Sus scrofa: one gene and its partner. The protein of the gene in region 1 interacts with the protein of each later gene in a pairwise test. Links are inferred from orthologs where the notes say so. Each region holds a gene or a part of one and is shown in the gene's direction. Other genes may lie near its edges.

Evidence for each region. The genes of interacting proteins can lie anywhere in the genome.
Region 2: the proteins of FLNA (region 1) and MYOZ1 interact in binary tests that used the Homo sapiens proteins (3 or more experiments, as listed by UniProt). The link is inferred for Sus scrofa from reciprocal best matches to the Homo sapiens genes FLNA and MYOZ1.

Annotation. Positions count from the first base shown.
Region 1 is NC_010461.5:124,909,858-124,915,956, forward strand, and holds the end of FLNA (filamin-A), read left to right. Parts: coding exon 1-115; coding exon of another isoform or gene 116-220; coding exon 221-382; intron 383-487; coding exon 488-691; intron 692-771; coding exon 772-924; coding exon of another isoform or gene 925-1,044; coding exon 1,045-1,167; coding exon of another isoform or gene 1,168-1,284; coding exon 1,285-1,551; intron 1,552-1,699; coding exon 1,700-1,837; intron 1,838-2,015; coding exon 2,016-2,131; intron 2,132-2,682; coding exon 2,683-2,815; intron 2,816-3,437; coding exon 3,438-3,996; intron 3,997-4,080; coding exon 4,081-4,284; intron 4,285-4,633; coding exon 4,634-5,123; 3' UTR 5,124-5,143; downstream 5,144-6,099. UniProt on the Homo sapiens protein: Promotes orthogonal branching of actin filaments and links actin filaments to membrane glycoproteins. Anchors various transmembrane proteins to the actin cytoskeleton and serves as a scaffold for a wide range of cytoplasmic signaling proteins.
Region 2 is NC_010456.5:76,449,132-76,455,811, reverse strand, and holds the start of MYOZ1 (myozenin-1), read left to right. Parts: upstream 1-2,865; 5' UTR 2,866-3,076; intron 3,077-4,258; exon of another isoform or gene 4,259-4,264; 5' UTR 4,265-4,282; coding exon 4,283-4,355; exon of another isoform or gene 4,356-5,298; coding exon of another isoform or gene 5,299-5,407; coding exon 5,408-5,586; intron 5,587-6,680. UniProt on the Homo sapiens protein: Myozenins may serve as intracellular binding proteins involved in linking Z-disk proteins such as alpha-actinin, gamma-filamin, TCAP/telethonin, LDB3/ZASP and localizing calcineurin signaling to the sarcomere.

The DNA of each region.
Region 1 (6,099 bases):
CAAGATGGGACGTGCAGCGTCTCCTACCTGCCCGTGCTGCCTGGCGACTACAGCATCCTGGTCAAGTACAACGAGCAGCACATCCCAGGCAGCCCCTTCACGGCCAGGGTCACAGGTAGGTGGTACCTGGAGCGGTGCCAAAAGGAGGCAGGAGGCAGGAGGCAGGGTGGGCGCGGTCGCCCTCTGGGCCTGGACACACAGGCCCGTCCCCTGCCGCCAGGTGACGACTCGATGCGCATGTCCCACCTGAAAGTGGGCTCTGCCGCCGACATCCCCATCAATATCTCCGAGACGGACCTCAGCCTGCTGACAGCCACGGTGGTGCCACCCTCAGGCCGGGAGGAGCCCTGCCTGCTGAAGAGGCTGCGCAATGGCCACGTGGGTAAGGAGCTGGGGAGAAAGGCCTTCTGGAAAGGAGGGAGGCTGGAGGGCAGGGTCGCACCTTTCCCTGGCTGACGCCCCCTCCCCCCGCCCCGTCCGTGCCCAGGGATCTCGTTCGTGCCCAAGGAGACAGGCGAGCACCTGGTGCATGTGAAGAAGAATGGCCAGCATGTGGCGAGCAGCCCCATCCCAGTGGTGATCAGCCAGTCGGAGATCGGGGATGCCAGCCGCGTGCGGGTCTCGGGCCGGGGCCTCCACGAAGGCCACACCTTTGAGCCTGCAGAGTTTATCATTGACACCCGTGATGCAGGTAGGTGGTGGTGGCCCAGGCGCTGGGGTGAGTGAGACCCCTGTCCTGGGCCCCCTGGCTCAGGGATGGCTCTCCCGCAGGCTACGGTGGGCTCAGCCTGTCCATCGAGGGTCCCAGCAAGGTGGACATCAACACAGAGGACCTGGAGGATGGCACGTGCAGGGTCACCTACTGCCCCACGGAGCCGGGCAACTACATCATCAACATCAAGTTCGCCGACCAACACGTGCCTGGTGAGGGTGGCGCCCACACACCTTCCCCAGGGCGGGGCACCCCTCCGTCCTTGTCGCTCCCCGGGGTCCAGCTGCCGAGTGTCGCCTGTGCGGGATGTGGGTCGTGCTTTCTCCCTGCAGGCAGCCCGTTCTCCGTGAAAGTGACCGGTGAGGGCCGGGTGAAAGAGAGCATCACACGCAGGCAACGGGCTCCTTCGGTGGCTAATGTCGGCAGTCATTGCGACCTCAGCCTGAAGATCCCTGGTAGGAGCTATAGGGAGCCAGGGAGGGGTCCCAGGGAGCCCCTGGGTGCCAGCCCTAGGGGACCCCGAAGGGCTGGGGCCTGGCTCTCCTGCTCACCAGGCTGTCCCCCACCTACAGAAATTAGCATCCAGGACATGACAGCCCAGGTGACCAGCCCATCAGGCAAGAGCCACGAGGCTGAGATCGTGGAAGGGGAGAACCATACCTACTGCATCCGCTTCGTGCCCGCTGAGATGGGCATGCACACGGTCAGCGTCAAGTACAAGGGCCAGCACGTGCCTGGGAGCCCTTTCCAGTTCACCGTGGGGCCCCTGGGGGAAGGGGGCGCCCACAAGGTCCGCGCCGGGGGCCCTGGCCTGGAGAGGGCTGAAGCTGGAGTGCCAGGTAGGCCTGCCTCCTTCCTGCGGGGCTCATGCTCCTCCTGGGGGTGCGGGGGGAAGCAGCCAAGCTCATCTCAGCCCTGCTTGGAGGGGGCCGGCGGCGGGGGTGAGGGGCGGCCAGCCGTCCATGAGGGCGCGCTACTTTCCCACAGCTGAGTTCAGCATCTGGACCAGGGAAGCTGGCGCCGGGGGCCTGGCCATTGCTGTTGAGGGCCCCAGCAAGGCCGAGATCTCCTTCGAGGACCGCAAGGACGGCTCCTGCGGCGTGGCCTATGTGGTCCAGGAGCCAGGTACTGAGGGGCGGGGGCGGGGGCGGCCAGGCTGGGCTGTGGCTGTTGATCCGGTTCCACGCAGACGCAGCCCTGCCCGGCTCCCACCCTCCAGCTTGAGGTCCCAGGGCCCCTCGGGCTGTTCGTGGGAGGCGGCGGGCTCGACTGCCATGGCCGACCTGGCTCCTTCCCTGCCCAGGTGACTACGAGGTCTCCGTCAAGTTCAACGAGGAGCACATCCCTGACAGCCCTTTTGTGGTGCCCGTGGCCTCTCCGTCTGGTGACGCCCGCCGCCTTACTGTTTCTAGTCTTCAGGTGAGGCACTGAGAGAAACCGCCCGTCTGGGGCTCCTGGGCCCGGCCAGACCAGAGCCACCGCACAGAGCAGGCCTCGGCCCTGTGTGGAGGGACCCGCCCCGCCCGGCTCAGGGCACCGGGCTTCTGCTCTGGCCGGGTGCAGCCCACGCTCGGGGTCGGCAGGAAGTACCCCTGACCGCCGCGTGGAGTTTTTCTCGTGTCTCAGGTCTAAAGGCTTTGAACAGAAGCCTGTGCCCCTTGAGCACCAGGGCTGAGGTTTAAAGAGGGACAGCCTGCCAGGGTTGAGCGCTGCCCATGGGGCAGCCCCCCCTGCTGCCGCCACGCACCCCCCCCCCAGCGTGTGCCTGTAGAGCTTGGGTCTGGGAGCGGGAGCGGGAGCGTGTGCTTGGAGCGTGCTGCCCCTCAAGGATCAGTGGCTCTCCCTCTTTAAACCAAGTTGGACGCCAGATGGGTAAGTGCAACCCCGTGGGCCTCCTGCTTCTGGGGCCCTGCCTGCCCTGGCCCCCGCCCCGGCCCCGGCCCCCCTAACCACGTCTGCTATGCTTCCAGGAGTCAGGGCTAAAGGTCAACCAGCCAGCCTCTTTTGCAGTCAGCCTGAATGGGGCTAAGGGGGCGATCGATGCCAAGGTGCACAGCCCCTCGGGAGCCCTGGAGGAGTGCTATGTCACAGAGATCGACCAAGGTGAGGCCCTGTCCCTGCCCAGCCACCCAGCCATCTGCCCTGGCCCCGCTGGGAGCCGTGGGCCTCCCCCCGGCCTGTCCCGCTGGCTGGAAGCAAGCCGAGAGTGCGAAGGAAAGGCACAGACCGGAGGCAGCCGAGCCAGAGCGCAGCTGCCCCTTCGGCCAGGCAGCGCTTCCCGCACTTGTGTCCCCAAGTCCCTGGGGACCTGGCGCACCAGCCATGCAGCTAGGGACCCGAACGAAGCCTAGCTGTGGGGGCTGCTCGGCCCAGTTCCACTGGTGACAACAGCCCAGTCCTGCCCCTTCCCGGCCACATGACTCCGAGCGAGTTCCTGCCTGTCTCTGGGCCCCAGTTAACATGGGGGGATGTGGGGGACTCATCTTCCTAGGGAGGCGTCATGGCAGGTGTTCTGCTTTACCAAGCGAGCGTCCTGGCAGTAGCTTGGGCACCTGACACTTCACCCGTCAGGCTTCAGGAGGTCTGCACTGTGGCGGGGGTGGGGGTGGGGGTGCCCAGCACGGTCCCCTGAAAAGGGGTGGGCAAGGGAAGCTCTCCACAGGTGCCGCTTGCTCAGTTCAGGAGGAGGGCTCTCAGGCCCACGGAGCCCTCCTCTGTTCCTCAGATAAGTACGCTGTGCGCTTTATCCCACGAGAGAACGGCGTCTACCTGATTGATGTCAAGTTCAATGGCACCCACATCCCTGGAAGCCCCTTCAAGATCCGAGTCGGGGAGCCTGGGCATGGAGGGGACCCAGGCCTGGTGTCCGCTTACGGAGCTGGCCTGGAAGGCGGCGTCACAGGTGGGTCAGTGGCTGCAGCTTCTGCTGTGTGGACACAACTGCTAGGGCCCCTCCTCCGAGCTCTCGGTGACAACAGGAGGCGTGTGGAGGTGACAAGGCTACGCTGGGGGCGGGGGGCAGGGAACAGGCCAGGCCAGCTCTGTCTAACCTCCCGTGCCCCCAGGGAGCCCCGCCGAGTTTATTGTGAACACGAGCAATGCGGGAGCCGGTGCCCTGTCGGTCACCATCGACGGGCCCTCCAAGGTGAAGATGGATTGCCAGGAGTGCCCGGAGGGCTACCGCGTCACCTACACCCCCATGGCACCTGGCAGCTACCTCATCTCCATCAAGTATGGTGGCCCCTACCACATTGGGGGCAGCCCCTTCAAGGCCAGAGTCACCGGTGAGCCTTGTACGAGCCTCCTGCTAGCCCGCCCGAGGCCTGGCCCTCCAGCCACCTCTTAGCCCTGCCTGCTCTGCCCTGCAGGTCACCGTCTCGTCAGCAACCACAGCCTCCACGAGACGTCGTCAGTGTTTGTGGACTCCCTGACCAAGACTGCCAGTGCCCCCCAGCATGGGGCCCCGGGCCCAGGTGCCGCCGACGCCAGCAAGGTGCTGGCCAAGGGCCTGGGGCTGAGCAAGGCCTACGTGGGCCAGAAGGGCAGCTTCACGGTAGACTGCAGCAAAGCAGGTGGGCGCCCAGGCCGCGGCCTTCCGCAGAGGCCACAAGTAGGAGCAGAGAGAGAGCCAGCGCCCGGGACCGCAGGACGGGGCGAAGTGGGGGGGGGGGTGTCTTTGGGGATGAGGCTGTCCCTCCTAGAGCCGCTTCCCATCTGGGCCTCCTCTGCCTTTCTTCAGGACGGCGCCCTGAAGGAGCTGGAGTTTCCTTTGCTAGCCCGGGGGGTGGGGTGCCGGCAGCTCTTTGGCGGGGGCGGGGGGGGGGGCTGCAGGACAGGAGAAGGGCGACAGCGGGGTCAGAGCCGAAGGGAGGGGGCTTGGGGCCTAGAACTGAGGCTCCCACCCCCACCCCCCACCCCCAGGCAACAACATGCTGCTGGTGGGCGTGCATGGCCCCCGAACGCCCTGCGAGGAGATCCTGGTGAAGCACGTGGGCAGCAGGCTCTACAGCGTCTCCTACCTGCTCAAGGACAAGGGGGAGTACACGCTGGTGGTCAAATGGGGCGACGAGCACATCCCGGGCAGCCCCTACCGCGTCCTGGTGCCCTGAGCTCTGTGCCCTGGCCAGCCAGCAGCTCCCAGGATGAGAAGCGCCCCCGCGCCTGCCCTCCGCCGCCCAAGCAGCCCTCCCACCCCAGCCCTGGTCAGCCCTGGCCAGCCCTGGCCACCCCGTCACTGCAGCCAACCCGGCCCTGTGCTGCGCTCACCTGCCTCCACTTGGGCAAAGGAGAGAGGCGAGCAGAGGGAGCCATTTGGTGGCCCTGCCTGTCTTCTCTGGTTCTGGGAGGGGTGAGAGGCGGGGGTCTTGTGCACACCCACTCGCTAGTGCCCTTCCCTCGCCAAGAAGAATAAAACTGCTTCCATTCTCCTGAGGGTGGCTTGAGCTTTGTGGCAAGAGGGTCGACCACAGGGGGGCGGGACGCGTGGGCCCACTTGCCACCCTGGCACTTGGCTCCTCTCTGCCCCGAGGGTTCAGACCATGCAAGGCAAGGGGTCGTTCATGCCCCCAGAGCAGAACCGAATGCTAATGTGCTTGTCCTGTGCCCCAGGGGAAGAGATGGTGGCCCCGGGGGAAGGCCGGGCCACAGCCGGGGCTGAAGGAGGTAAAGGGCAGGGTGGGAGGACCAGACAAGCGTGACTTCCCTGGTTAAGGATCCCTCCTGTGTTGTGGATTCAGTCTTTGGCCCGGGAATTTCTGTGTGGCCGTCAGTGGAGCTGGAAAACAAACCAATGAAGGTGTTCCTGCCATGGCTCAGCGTAACGAACCCGATACGATCCCTGGCCTCACTCGGTGGATGAAGGATCTGGCGTTGGCGTGAGCTGTGGTGTGTAGATCACAGATGCGGCTTGGATCGCACGTTGCTGCGGCTGTGGTGTAGGCAGGCGGCGGCCGATCCAATTGGACCCCTAGCCTGGGAACCTCCATATGCTGCAGGTGCGGCCCTTAAAAAACAAATGAGGAGTTCCCGTCGTGGCGCAGTGGTTAACGAATCCGACTAGGAACCATGAGGTTGCGGGTTCGGTCCCTGCCCTTGCTCAGTAGGTTAACGATCCGGCATTGCCGTGAGCTGTGGTGTAGGTTGCAGACGCGGCTCGGATCCTGCGTTGCTGTGGCTCTGGTGTAGGCCAGTGGCTACAGCTCCGATTAGACCCCTAGCCTGGGAACCTCCATATGCCGCGGGAGCGGCCCAAGAAATAGCAAAAAGACAAAAAAAAAAAAAAAAAAATGAAACAGGCCCTAGCCATTCTCCCAGGGACCTTGAATATGCCGCCATCTCTGAATAAGGGACCATCACCAGGTCTGCCGCCCCAGGGGGCAGGCTGTGGG
Region 2 (6,680 bases), on another chromosome or scaffold:
AAGGTGAGGTGGGAGAGCAAAGGAGAGAGACTGTGGATCAGCATGGATGGAGAATTTTTAAAAAAGAGAAAACTAGAATTAGATTTCTGAGAAGGGAAGTGCTTCTGCCCCAGTTTTACCAGCAGGGGGCAGATTTGTGCCAATAATCAGGCCTATGACCCTTATTCCCCCAAATACACAGCCTCTCAGAATTCCAAAGGAAGGGCCCAGAGAGTATTCCGTCTTTATGCACTCGGTAGTTTTAGATAATCATATGAGACCAAAATTTCAATTTCTTTTTGTGGTTTTTGAGGGGAGGATGGTAGTATGACAAAATCATTTTTTGGGTTTTTTTGTTGTTGGGTTTTTCTTTTTTTGTTTTTTTGTTTTGTTTTGTTTTGCCTTTTTGCCTTTTCTAGGGCTGCTCCCGTGGCATATGGAGGTTCCCAGGCTAGGGGTCAAATCGGAGCTGTAGCCACCGGCCTACACCACAGCCACAGCAATGCGGAATCCGAGCTGCGTCTGCAACCTACACCACAGCTCACACAGTGCCGGATCCTTAACCCACTGAGCAAGGCCAGGGATCATATCCGCAACCTCATGGTTCCTAGTCTCGTATTCTTTAACCACTGAGCCACGACAGGAACTCCTGTTTTTGTTTTTGTTTTTGTTTTTTTGTCTTTTAGGGCCACACTAGCTGCATATGGAGGTTCCCAGGTAGGGGTCAAATAGGAGCTGTAGACGCCAGCCACAGCCACAGCCACATCAACTCAGGATCCGAGCTGCGCCTGTGATCTACACCACCCCTCTTGGCAATGCCAGTTCCTTAACCCACTGAGCGAGGCCAGGGATCAAACCTGTATCCTCATGGATGCTAGTCAGCTTCATTAACCACTGAGCCACAACAGGAACTCCAATGAAATCACCTTTTGCTATTTATGTTTTGTTTTTTTGTTTTGCTTTGTTTCCATCTCATTGCTTCTTTGTGTTAGGAGGAAGTGGAGAAGGAAGATGAGGGATCTGGAGGCTAAAGTGGTCAGGGCAGAGGCCAAGTAGAGAGGACAAGCGTAACATTTCAGCCCCTAACCTGAACCTGTAAAGCTGAGGATGGGCAAAGGGCATGGTCAGGAAGAGTGGATCGCTCACAGAGGGATAGAAAGGTATTCTGGGAGTTACAAAAGCCATGTCCTAAGGTAGCCACAACAGGGTGGTGATGGGTACAGCAGAGGTGCAGCAGCTGGTTCCAAAACCTGATCAGTACATAGAGGAGTATCCAGGATGTTCATGCAGCTACTGAGGAAGGGGCTGGGCAAATGACAGGTTTCCCAGAGTTCCCGTTGTGGTGCAGTGGAAACGAATCTGACTAGTATCTGTGAAGATGTGGTTTCAATCCCAGGCCTCGCTCACTCAGTGGGTCAAGGACCCAGTGTTGCCATGAACTGTGCTGTAGGTCACAAATGAGGCTCGGATTCTGTGTTGCTATGGCTACGGTGTAGGTCAACAGCTGTAGCTCCGATTTGACCCCTAGTCTGGGAACTTCCATATGCTGAGGGTGCAGCCCCAAAAAGCCAAAAAAAAAAAGAAGGAAAGAAAAATGACCATTTCCCTCCAGGGCCTTCTCAAACTTGTTCCCCTGTCCAGAGGTGTCTCTAGACCCTTGTGAATGGGACAGTCCAGATCCCATGAGGTATGTGCTCCCTTAGGGGAAAATGCTAAGTAGGAACCTCAGAGAGTAAAGTCCTGGCAGTTCAGAGCCTACATGTACTTCCAGGGAGAGAGAGTGACATCTATCCAGCAGAGCAGGCTGAACTGAACACTCCAATGGCAAATGGGAGTGGAAAGGCAGAAATTGGTCAAATCTTCACCCACATTATCCCTGACTGCCTAAGTACTGGCTTTGGTTAATATGGTCCCTTGTCCTGCCAAGATCTGGCCCTTCCAGAGGTAGACCATCCTGTTCAGGAACTCTCGGAGTTCCCGTCATGGTGCAGTGGTTAACCAATCCGACTAGGAACCATGAGGTTGCGGGTTCGGTCCCTGCCCCTGCTCAGTGGGTTAACGATCCGGCGTTCCGTGTTGCCGTGAGCTGTGGTGTAGGTTGCAGACGCGGCTTGCATCCCGCATTGCTGTGGCTCTGGGGTAGGCCGGCGACTACAGCTCTGATTAGACCCCTAGCCTGGGAACCTCCATATGCCACAGAAGCCACCCAAAGAAATAGCAAAAAAAAAAAAAAAAAAAAAAAGACAAAAAAAAAAAAAAAAAGGAACTCTCAAAGGGCAGTTCCATTGTGAACAGATTTCCCTTCCTTTATCATAGCACCTCGGAGTTCCCATTGTGGCTCAGCGAGCTAAGAATTTGGCTAGTAACCATGAGGATGCAGGTTTGACTCCTGGCCTCACTCAGTGGGTTAAGGATTTGGCATTGCCTCGAGTTGTGGTGTAGGTCAAAGATGTGGCTTGGACCCCGAGTTACTATGGCTGTGGTATAGGCTGGCAGATGCAGCTCCACTTCGACCCCTAGCCCAGGAACTTCTATATGCTGCAGGTGTGGCCATAAAAAGAAGGAAAAAACAAAAAAAACCATAGCACCTTAAGCCCTCCCACCCCCAAAGTGCACCCATTTGTCCCTCCAGCTCCAGCCTGGATTGGCTCTGAATGGCTCTCTGGACATGTTCTCCGGGTTCTTACTCTCCCACTCCAAATTCCTGTCCACCACTTGCTGCCTGCTTCCTTTCTCCCTCTCAGTTTTCAGTTTCTCCCTGAATGCTTCTTTGAATCTCAGCCTCTAGGTGCCAAGGAAGGGGAGTCCCTGGGCAGACTAATCCCTGACCCAGACAGCTTCCTGGGAGAATCCCAAAGACCTTTGCCTCCCCTTCCTGAGCCTCTGGGCAAGGAGGGAGGGATCTTGGTTCCAGGGTCTTGGTACCCCCTGTGCCATTTGAGCTGCTTGCGTTCATCATCTCTATTAATAACCACCCTCCCTCCCCCACTGCCAGTGCTGCCCCCACGCCTGCCCAGCTCGGGTTCTCCCGTCACAGCAGCTCAGTCCTCCAAAGCTGCTGGACCCCAGGGAGAGCTGACCACCGCCTGAGCAGCCGGTAAGTCTCCAGCTTTATGACCAGAGGGGTCGGAGCCCACTCCATGAACTGCTGTGTCTGTGTCTATAACAGTGACCCTTGGTCCTGGGGCAGTTGCCCTCCTCCCCCATCTATACTCAGCTCTCAGTTGTCCAGCTCAGGGGAGCCACGAGAGTTGGAAGGAGAAGGGCCCAAGAGGGTGGGGGGAATGGAGATGATGGGGGAGGCCCTGGAGGAATAAGAAAGGGGTCTGGGATACTGGATGGGAAATAAGAACCTGGTTGCTGCTGAGAGAGGTACAGGGAGAGTCCATTTAGCAATTCCTGGATTCTGGCCTCACCAGACCCCACTACGCTAGTAGAATTGCATATGAGTTTTGAGACAGGACTCAGCAGAAAACAGCATTTTGCTGAGTGCCAACTTCTGTGAAGGAGGGGCTGGAATCTGTATTTTTCCCCAGCTTGTCCCCCTCCACGGCCAGATCCTATTATTATGGCCTGTCCTCCTTGAATTTCCCACTGCTATGGTATTGCTGAATTGACATGCAGCAGAGTTCACATGTTCCCTGACCTCCCTCTCCACTCCAGTTCTGGGGTCTGGGGGGCGGGGAGTGACTGAAAGGGAGCAGGAACATTGCTGTGACCTCCCAGGCCATGATCCAGCTGGCCGAATGGAGGGACAATAACCTCTCCTTCCTATGGAGAATGTTTTTGGCTGGATCATGTCAACACTGGCAGGACATTTTTTTCTGCTCCACTCCCCCACCCCCCGGGACTTGGTGAAGAGTGAGAGACCAGAGTTTGGAATGACATTCCCAATCTGAGAGCCCCCTGCAAATAAAAACTTCAAATCATGCCAAACCTGTGAAACCTGGTCGCATCGCCCTGCCTGTATTAATTTGTTTGTTTTACCCCCAGCCTCCCAATACACATTGTTGTTCCTAAGCCTTGCACCAACTCTTTGTAAAAGGGCTGAAAAAAGGTTGGTAGAAGGTAGGGGGAGGGGGTGCATCTATGCTTTCTGCCCTGCTTCCCAAGAAGAGAAGCCCTAAAGCAACGAGTTTTCACCTTTTAGGGGAATATATGTTTCCTTGAAAATCTAATGAAATTTTGCTCCCTGAAGTCCTTAAGCACTGCCTTACTGTAGACACTGCCACCTCCCCCTACATTCCTTGTCCATCCTTTAGCTCCCCCTTCTCACCCTATCCAGGCTCCACCCACCTCCACAATGCCGCTCTCAGGGACCCCAGCCCCAAACAAGAAGAGGAAATCCAGCAAGCTGATCATGGAACTCACTGGAGGTATGGCATGTTTGTACCTGACTGGTGTGGGATTTATTAAGAGGATCTCGGGGGAGTTCCCTGGTGGTCTAGTGGTTAGGATTTGGTGCTTTCATCACTGTGGCCTGAGTGTAGTCCTTGGTTGGGGAAATGAGATCCCACTTCAAGCCACTGCACATGGGCCAAAACAAAAAAGGAAAAAAAAGAGTATCTCTGCCCCAAGAGTTCCAGAAATATTATACATTTATACATGTATTAGGGTGAAAAGATATGAAGAGACAAGAGGAACTGAGGAGGGAAGGTGGGGGGAGGGAGAAAGAGGGAGAAAGAATTCAACTCTGACTACTCACCCTTCCACCCTTTTCACCTTGTAATCTGAGACAATAACACCCATGCCATGTTACCCAGCACAGGTCCAGGACAACAGGACCCACAGGTCAGTGAGGTATGTTTGAGGAGAAAAAATATACACGGAGACTGGCATGGAATAAGGTCTCAATAAGTGGTTAATTTCCTTACATCTTTCCCCAGAGCTTAGGAGCCTTGTACAAGCACTTAAAATGGAAAATTGCTCAAGCATTTTTCCTGAGGGTGGTAGGAGTACGTGCGTATGAAGAGCTCTCCCAATACCTAGAGGCTGTTTGCAGCCAGAGTTCACTGAGGGGAAGAAAAGGGAAAGGGGTTAAGACAGCAGACTATATTTAGAGGTGGCCTTTGGGCTTTCCCCCATGCTATAGTTTCCCCAGTGACCTCCATCTGTGGTGTTTCTTGACTCTTTTGCCCTGTACCCCATACCCTTTCACCCCATTCACCCTCGTCACTACACTCTAGTATCCCCACTGTCTCCACTCTGCACCCCAGTTCCCATGCATTCTCTCCAGCTCCAAATCCAGGAAATCAAAAGCCCTGTTAAACTAGATAGCATTTGATCAGACATCACAGACAAGGTCTGCTTCCCTCAGCGATGTCTGCTGGGAAACACACACTTTGCTGTGGATGGCGGATGCATTTGGAGCCTAGAAAAACCCTGCTTTCCTCTTTTCCTTGCTTCTGCATCCCCACTTCCCTGAAAGGTGGACAGGAGAGCTCAGGCCTGAACCTGGGCAAGAAGATCAGTGTCCCAAGGGATGTGATGTTGGAGGAGTTGTCGCTGCTCACTAACCGGGGCTCTAAGATGTTCAAACTACGGCAAATGAGGGTGGAGAAGTTTATCTATGAAAATCACCCTGATGTCTTCTCTGACAGCTCAATGGTGAGTTTGGAGTGTTACTACTCTCAAAGCCAGTGCCTCTTCTGACAGCTTCTTGGTAGCCCAAAATATTACCAACTTCCCCTCCCTGCAAACTTAGAAGCTCATTAACCCTCCAGATACATAAAGCCCCCAATATCTCCAGGATGAGTTACAGCCCACCTCTGAAACTAAAACTGTAGCTTAGAGCTAGTGAAGCAGGGTGGGGAGTATCATACCTTCAGGGAGAAAATTCCCTCCCAGTATAGTTAAGCATCAAAGATAGGATTGCCAGATAAAACACAGAACACCCAGTCCTATATTTTATTTTATTTCCTTTCTTTTTTTTTTTTTTTTTTGTCTTTTTAGGGCTGCACCTGTGGCATATGGAGTTTCCCAGGCTAGGGGTCTAATTGGAGCTGTAACGGCTGGCCTTCGCCAGAGCCACAGCAACACCAGATCTGAGCCTCGTCTATGACCTACACCACAGCTCATGGCAACGCTGGATCCTTAACCCACCAAGCAAGGCCAAAGAGTGAACCCACAACCTCATGGTTCCTATTTGGATACTTTTCTGCTGCACCATGAGGGGAACTCCTCTTTTCCTTTTTTTTAAATTGAAGTATAGTTGATTTATAATGTCTTGTTTTTAGGTGTACAGCATAGCGACTCAGTTATGCATATATATGTCTATATATAGAGAGACATATATACAGATTCTTTTTCAGATTCTTTTCCTTTATAGCTTATTATCAAATATTGACTGTAATTCCCTGTGCTATACAGTATAGTCTTATATTTTAAAGTTGAGATTCACATAAAATAAATAAGCGATAAGGATATATTGTACAGTACAGGAAATAAAGCCAATATTCATAATAACTAAATGGAATATGAGCTGTAAAAATATTGAATATTGTACATCTGAAAGTAATATAATATTGTAAACCAACTATACTTCAATTTTAAAAAATAAAGTTGATATACACACAAATAATTTCTTAGTAAAGCATGTTCCATGAAATATTTGGAACATAATTTTTTAAAAATTGAGGACAGTTAAATTTGAATTTCAGATACACAACAATTTTTTAGTATAAGTATATCCATGAAATATT